2 linked regions of the Danio rerio genome follow. The protein of the gene in region 1 interacts with the protein of each later gene in a biochemical or structural test. Links are inferred from orthologs where the notes say so. Each region holds a gene or a part of one and is shown on either strand. Other genes may lie near its edges.

Region 1 (3,832 bases):
ATAATATGCAGTAAAAAAAACAGTAATACTTTATACCGGTTTTGGCAGATTATAAATCATTCAGGAAAAGTGTGCTAAAATGGTTCTTTCTGCTAATTACATTCTAACATTTCTTTTTAATCTATCGAAGATTTATTTTCATTACTTTGTGCCTTTATTTAGACTGAGCAAGACAGACTGGCAAAAAGTGAGCGGAAAAAAATGGGGCTGAAATGAGGAAAGACCCCCAAGCAGATACTCAAATGCCCAAAACATATCAGAGCCCTGCCAACATTGCTGTTCAATCAACTGTTTTCTTAAACTAAAACCCAGACTGACTCTCACCTCGCCCAAGGCCTTGACAGAATCTAGTGCCGTCCTCAGCCGACTACAGTCTGCCGCCCCCATAGACTCCTGCTCCTTGAGCTGGCAGAGCAGCGTCAGGGCCTCTGCGCCACACGCCTTCACGCTGTCTGCCAATGCTGCCCACAGACAAAAAGCAGAAAGCAGTCAGACTAGCCATCTGTCACCTGCAGACACTCCACATACGCTCCAACAGACACATTTGCTGCAATGAATGACATGATTGCATTGTGCACGTGGGCACAGCACATTAGTCGCTTTGAGTTATGCCATGCTCTTTAAAAGCAACTTGAAACCAAACCCCCAGACCCCCGGCGGCCAGTTATTAACAGAACCACAATGATTGGAATGACCCTTGTGATGTATGGAGAGCAACTTAAACAAAGTCAGTTTCTTGGACGTCTCTACGTGATAATACAGTGCGGTTTTAAAATATTTAGCATTTTAATTTTAGTGAGTGCAATTATGCTACTTATATCAAAAGGGTAGTTGACATAGCTCAAATGTGCTACAAGTATCATTTTGATAATAGACCTACACAAATTCTCACAACACATGCAAATACAGAAACATGCTGCAAATAGTACAGACCACAATAGAAATGTGTTGGGAGACCCCAAAAACTGACAAACTCAGCAGTTTTGTCATGAGTGTTGTCTTTAGATCTGAGAGGTGAGTTAATTCGTCAGATTACTAGAGCAAGCCAATAGACCTTTTTCTTAGAACGCAAAATTTCCCATTATGCTTTGCGTGTATGCGTAAGGAGGATGCTTGATGCGTAATGATCGCTTTGAAACGATAGTTTTAATCTACTTTACTTGCTTTGAACACTTTTGAACTGATACTGCTGTTGATCGGCGCCACCTCCTGGACTGATTATTTAAAAAATGAGATCCAATGGGATGGAAAACTGCTGCTAATCATTTACCCTTACCGCCAGATGGCATCTTGAGCTATTGAAATGGAGCCTTGTCATCGCAAAAGTGATCATTTTCAAATTTATAACAAACTCAAACAAATGTAATTCACCAAAATGTTGGACACACACACACACATACTTTCCCATTAACATATTGATTAAAAGACTATCACAAAGTAAAAATAAATTTTGAAATGACAGAAAAATACATACCATGGTAAATACTTGGGGTGTCAAAATAATTGTGTCTTTGGTGTGATGCAGATAAGGACAATTTGGTATGGTTCAGTAATGATCATAACTGGTTATTATGTACATCATTTATGAACATCATTTATCTCATATGCGCCATGTCGCCGTAGCTTACTATGGCGAGGGAGGCAAGCGCGAGTATTTAAAATGCTCCAACTTCTTAAAAACGCAGAAACTGTGCACAATTTCACTGCATGTGTGTTTGCTGGACATTCTTCCACTGACACTTACAGCAGAAGCCCCTATTTCACTGTGAATGAGAGAATGAAAGTAAACTCCATTTTACCTAGGTAACCTAACAAACCTACTTAAGCCTTTAAATGTTCCTTTAAGCTGTATCGAAGTGTCTTGAAAAATATATAGTAAAATAATATGTACAGTCAGTCATCATGGTAAAGATAAAATAAATCAGTTATTAGTAATGTTATAATAAAATAAATCAGTTATTAGAAAGATAAAATAAATCAGTTATTAGAGATAGTTATTAAAACTATTATGTGTTTAGAAAAGTGTTGACGACACTTTTCAGTACTTTAGACACTTAACAGCAAATTACACAGTTTTTCTAGCTTGAATGGATTCTGAGCTTATTTTTTAATAGCAGATGCTGCTGTATGCTTTACGAACAACCATACTCAGCTTGCATTCAGTTCCTTACAAATACCACTTAAACCTTTGCTAACTTAATGAATAATTATTTTTGGTTCAAGTGAATTACAAGTGTGTTTGAAGTTAGCTGTTTACGTTAACACCTGACATAAAAAAACAACTTTCTGAGAGCTTTTCATGAGAATTTCAGTGTATGATTAATGTTATAATTAAAAAACTAGCCTAGAAAGCCATCTGCTGTTAAAAACTAAGTACAGGTCCAAAAAAAAAATCGCTAAGTTTTTACCATTACTATGATATAGAATAGGGGAGATTTCAGACAGGAAAGCATTGGGAGCAGAGAGGGGAAGGATCGGCAAAGGACCTTGAGCTGGGAATCAAACTAGGGTCACCGGCATGAGCACTCTGCTATATACTGTATGTCAGAACACAGTACCTCTAAGCTATTGGCGCCAACCCAAATTCGATTTCTCAAAACTATTTTTCACCACAGCTTTATAAACAACACAAACATACTGTAAAGTTGACCAAACGTTACTCAGGCATAATCCCACGATGTGTGTTTAAATATTTTTGTTTAGCTGACCACCAAATGTTTACTACTTAAATTGACATTGCACTGGACTACCCACATGTAGATGTTTTACAATGGACAAATGCAGAAAAATATACGATGACATCATGAAAGGAGACTTCGTCGTTTACGACCAAGCAAATGATTACAGTAAATCCCACATAGACATGTGATGCTGTAATTTTTGCAAATATTGCTCAATGAAAGACTCGTCAAAGATATGAATGATGCAGTTCTACTCTATAGGTACTCGAGATTAACATGAGCTAGGCAGATACTGCCCTTTATATATTTTCGATAAAGCATTTGCATATAAATATGCATTCGTTTTGCATTTTGATGTGATTACATGATGTAAACCTGAATAGGAAGGTGTTGAAATGATAAATGTGTCATGCTCACCGTCAGCTTGCTCCACTGGCACCATGTGGGAGGTGGCGCTGCCCTGCACGATGACATCGCCCACCAGGTGAGCAAACTGAGTCACTGCCCGCACCAGTCCAGACACATCTGTTACACACAGACAGGAAAATCAGTGTTACAACAGGATCATATGAGCGTTTCTCATCTCAATTGAGGAATTAAGTGTCAACAAAAGTGATGAAACGAAGTCTGAATGCATTCATGGTGCTCAGGGCTTTACTGGTAAAGGATTTAGTTGTATATTTTTGAGCTAAATACAAAGCAAAAACAGGGAGTAGGAAAGTTTTCAGTAGTTGATGATAGCATGGCTGTTTTCAAAACTGTGTGGATTGTTCAATTTTTCAGATGTGTTAACTATTTTTCCCAACAGTCAGTGGCGTAACATTGCAAAATAACACATCATATATGTGTCACTATATGTATTGCACACCCTTACCAGCATAGGAGCTCAGACAACAGCCAGACTGTTTAGGACCACTTACTGATTCAGAACGTTTGTTTCATGATACACTTTGCTCAGACTGAGTGTAAAATTATCATTTAAACAATACTAAGGCCTAAAATGCTTTGGTTAGCAGTTTACAGCTTTTTTCTTTTTTTACAAAAATTGTCTGTGTTTTGGTAAAGTGTCTTTTACTGGGAAAAAAAAGCTTTTAAGCTATTATTAAATGACACCACCTTAAATTAGATTACTTTTTGTGCCATATCCTTTA
Region 2 (4,518 bases), on another chromosome or scaffold:
CATCAGAACTCAACATCAGCCTGATGTCAATGTCCAACGTCCAACCTCAAACCAACCAAATATCAACGTCTAATGATGTTACAGCTTGACGTTGTGTCGACGTTACCACTATGACGTCTATCAGACGTTGAATTTTGGTTGCCATAACTGATGAATAAATGTCAGTATTTGACGTCAATAGGATGTTGATTTAAGATGTCGGCTCTACATTGGATTTTGGTCACTTTCTAACAACCTAAAATCAACCAAATATCAACGTCATTTGATGTCATTATTGGACATGAAAATAATGTCCTTAGACGCTGGCTAGACATAGAATTTTGGTCACCTGACATTACAACCTAAATCAAACCTATTAACGTCTTATAACGTTGTGTGCCTGCTGGGCAATAAATATATGCACTACAGAATGTTACGTTTACACACATCCACGAATTACATGTAAATGCATCAACTTTTAACAGCGTAATACTCACTTTTAAAAGGGCTACTGTTTACTCCTACTTTGAGTAATATTTACGACAGGTACTTTTACTCTACTCACACTACATTTTTAGGCAAGTAATGGTACTTTTACTTAAGTATGCTTTTTTTTTACTTAAGTATTAGTTAAGTATGCTTTTTACATACTCTTTCCACCACTGGGTGCAACTTCCTTAATATGCACGATATTGCTTCGAAGATTATTACCTGTTATGCTGTGTTCACACCAGACGCTGAATGCAAATTTGACCTTATTTATATAGCACATTTAAATTCAACTTCAGTTGGCTTAAGTGCTATACAGAGTTAAAAAAGAGTCATGAAAAACATTAATAATACAGATTAAGCAAAGCAAAACAATTAATAAGTAAAAATCCTTATGCATTCATTTTCCTTCGGTCCCTTAATTTATTAGGGGTCGCCACAGCGGAATGAACCGCCAACGTATCCAGCATATGCTTATTATGCAGAGAATGCCCTTCCAGCTGCAACCCATTACTGGAAAAACACCCATACACACTCATTCACACACACACTCATACACTATACGGCCAGTTTAGTTAATCAATTCCCCAATAGTGCATGTGTTTAGACTGTGGGGGAAGCTGGAGCACTCAGAGGAGACCTAAGGCAACATGTGGAGAACATGCAAACTCCACACAGAAATGCCAACTGGCCCAGCCAGGACTCAAACCAGCGACCTTCTTCCTATGAAGCCACAGTGCTAACCACTAAACCACCATGTCACCCTTAATAAATTATTTGAAATTAAAAGCACATGGGAAAATATGTGAAAGTTTGATTAAAAAGATAAGTACAGATTGCTTTTCAACACTCTTCAGAATATCTTGCTTTATGCGCAACAGAATAAAAGTTAATTTTGTGTGAACTGTCCCTTTAAATCCAACTCTGCTGCACTACACACTCTGTCCGGCAGATGGGGACAAAACGCCACAAATCATCACCTAACTATGCGCTCAATATTGATATTACAGATTTTTGTTCTAGCACTCCCTACTAACGTTTGAGCTGTGCGTCATTCAACCGCTGTCAGTAAAAAAGTGAAATAAATACTTTAAATAAGTCTACAACGTTCAGACCAGTCTAAGTTCACCCTTTATCAGCTAATCGACTTGTGAACTGGCTGAAGAAGAAAACAGCTGGAGTGTTTTAGCGTAGCTTTTTTACGGAAGCCGGTGTTACTTTATCAAACATGGCTGACGACTTCGGTTTTTCCGCCTTCGACAACGGAGTTCATACAGAAGAAGATCCCGCCGCCGCCTTTCTGGCCCAGCAGGAGAATGAAATCGCGGTGATTGAGAACGACAGCACTGGGTTCAGTTTACCGGAGGACGGAGGAGCGGCGCCCGCAGACACCTACACCATGTCCGGCGGTGAGCCAGCGCGAGTCCCGGCGGCCGCAAACACACACCCGTGCTCACGTATTACCGCTTTATATTGTGTATAAAGTATAGTACAGAGTGCCTGTTATGTATAAGTAGCAGTAGTGTAATGTACCATGGTATTTTTGGAGAACCAGGTACGTAAATGTGTAATAAATGAGTATCAATCACTTCTTAAAATGTGAGTTACCATAGTATTGTAAAAAAACACAGTATTTTAGTTTTAAATAACTTTTTCCCATGGTATATTTTCAAAAAGTATATATTATATTATATTATTTTATATTATATTGAAATACTATGGTATCACCACTGAATACTGCCACTTTACCATAGTACTAGTAACTTACAGCAGTACTTTCAGTAACTATTTTGTGACTTTGTTTAATATAAATATTACAAATTATGCACAACTAATAATATAAATCATCATCGTTATTACTCGGTACTTAAATGCACACAAAAACTATAACACAGATTAGGCTACTTGCGATAAAGTAGCGGTAACGTTACTGTAACATACCATGGTATTTTTGCAGAACCAAATACATAAATGAGTAATAATGAGTATAAATCACTTCTTATAATGTTAGTTACCATGGTATTGTAAAAAGAATAGTGTTTTTGTTTATAATAAATTATTTTTCCATGGTATTTTTAGAATAAGTATATTATATTATAATATATTCTATTATAATACTATGGTATTACCACTGATTATTGCAACTTTACCATAGTACTAGTAACTGCAGTACTTACTTTCAGTAACTTTATTTTGTGTCCTTGTTTAATATTAATCTCACAAATTATGTGTAACTGATAATATGAATCACCATTGTTATTACTGAGTACTTAAATGCACACAAAAAGTATAACAGTGTGCTTTCGTACAAGTAGCAGTAGTGTAATGTACCATGTTTTTTTTTTTTTGAAGAACCAGGTACATTAATGTGTAATAAATGAGTAAAAATCACTTACTAAAATGTGTATATCATGGTATTTGACAATTCCTTGCAAAAAATATAGATACTTCATTGAAAGGATTTTTTTAATGAATATTCTATTCTATTATATTGAAATACTATGGTATCACCACCAGATACCGCCACTTTACCATAGTACTAGAACAACAGTACTTTCAGTTTCACTCGTTTACAGCTCTAATTAGTGCATATTATAAGGTATAATACAGTGTCTGTTCCGTATATGTAGCAGTACTGTTATGTACCAGGTGCATGAATGTGTAATAAATGAAGTTCAAATCACTTCTTAGTGTTCATGGTATTGACAATGATTAGTAAAAAGAATCGATACAGTATTTTTGGTTAAAATAACTTTTTCCTATGGTATTTTATCTAAAAAGTATATTATATTATATTAAAAATCTATGATATCACTACTGTATACAGCCACTTTCCCATAGTACTAGTAACTTACAGCAGTACTTTCAGTACCTTTATTTTGTCACAGAAACGCCAACTGACCCAGCCGAGGCTCGAACCAGCGAACTTCTCGCTGTGAGGCGACAGCACTACCTACTGCGCCACTGCGTCACCATTAAAACTTTTTTTCAGAAAAAAGGAAACATTTAATTTAAAATAAATAAAGAAAATAAATAAACTCTAAAAAAGTTAGCAGCCCTAATAAAATAAAAAAAATTAATGAAATTAAATATTATCACTCATCCTCTTCTAAATAAGAGTCGCATTGCTAAATATAGAAAATTGCAAAAAATGACATTTGTACTTGCATAAAAATAAAGGAGCAAAATAAATAACACAAAACTTAAAATAGCAAAAACAAAATCAAACCTAATATCTTCAAAACACTAAATAACAGAATTTGTAAAAAATAAATAACTAAATAAATAAAGTGCAGATTTATGCTTTAACTAAACACTTAAAACATGCAAGTAAAAAAAAATAAACATTTAAAACTTTTTTAATGCAAATCCACTTAGATCCACTTGTCTTGTAAACAAAGCAAGTATTTCATATATACATATATATTGACTAGAGGGCTGCATGGTGGTGCTGTGGGTAGCATGATCGCCTCACAGCAAGAAGGTCGCTGGTTCGAGCCTCGGCTGGGTCAGTTGACATTTTGGGTCAGTTTGCATGTTCTCCCAGTGTTGCCGTGGGTTTCCTCCGGGTGCTCCGGTTTCCCCCACAGTCCAAACACACTATAGGTGCATTGGATAAACTAAATTGTCCGTAGTGTATGTATGTGATTGAGTGTGTGTGGATGTTTTCCAGTGATGGGATGCAGCTGGAAGGGCATCCACTGCATAAAACATATGCTGGATAAGTTGGCGGTTCATTCCGCTGTGGCGACCCCTGATTAATAAAGGGAGTAAGCCAGAAAGAAAATGAATGAATGAATGAAAATTGACTAGAAGACAAAAAATATTACATTACAAACTGCAATTTTACATAAATCCTAAATTGTAATTTGTTTTTCGATCCTGACTGCATGTGTTTTAAGTCATTGTAACTTATTAAACTAAGTTAATCATCTTCTAACTTAAATTTACAAGTTGCACAAGCTGTTTTAAGTCAGTTTAACATAATATAAGTTCAATGGATTCATGAGGTTAATTTGATTCAGCGTACAAACTTAAGGCAACCAGGAT

The links.
Region 2: the proteins of hip1 (region 1) and cltb form a complex in vitro, tested with the Homo sapiens proteins (2 studies listed by BioGRID, with this or other methods). The link is inferred for Danio rerio from reciprocal best matches to the Homo sapiens genes HIP1 and CLTB.

The regions. Positions count from the first base shown.
Region 1 is NC_133190.1:19,378,988-19,382,819, forward strand, and holds part of hip1 (huntingtin-interacting protein 1), read right to left. Parts: intron 3,207-3,832; coding exon 3,099-3,206; intron 462-3,098; coding exon 325-461; intron 1-324. UniProt on the Homo sapiens protein: Plays a role in clathrin-mediated endocytosis and trafficking. Involved in regulating AMPA receptor trafficking in the central nervous system in an NMDA-dependent manner. Regulates presynaptic nerve terminal activity.
Region 2 is NC_133189.1:56,170,471-56,174,988, reverse strand, and holds the start of cltb (clathrin light chain B), read left to right. Parts: upstream 1-1,474; 5' UTR 1,475-1,696; coding exon 1,697-1,877; intron 1,878-4,518. UniProt on the Homo sapiens protein: Clathrin is the major protein of the polyhedral coat of coated pits and vesicles.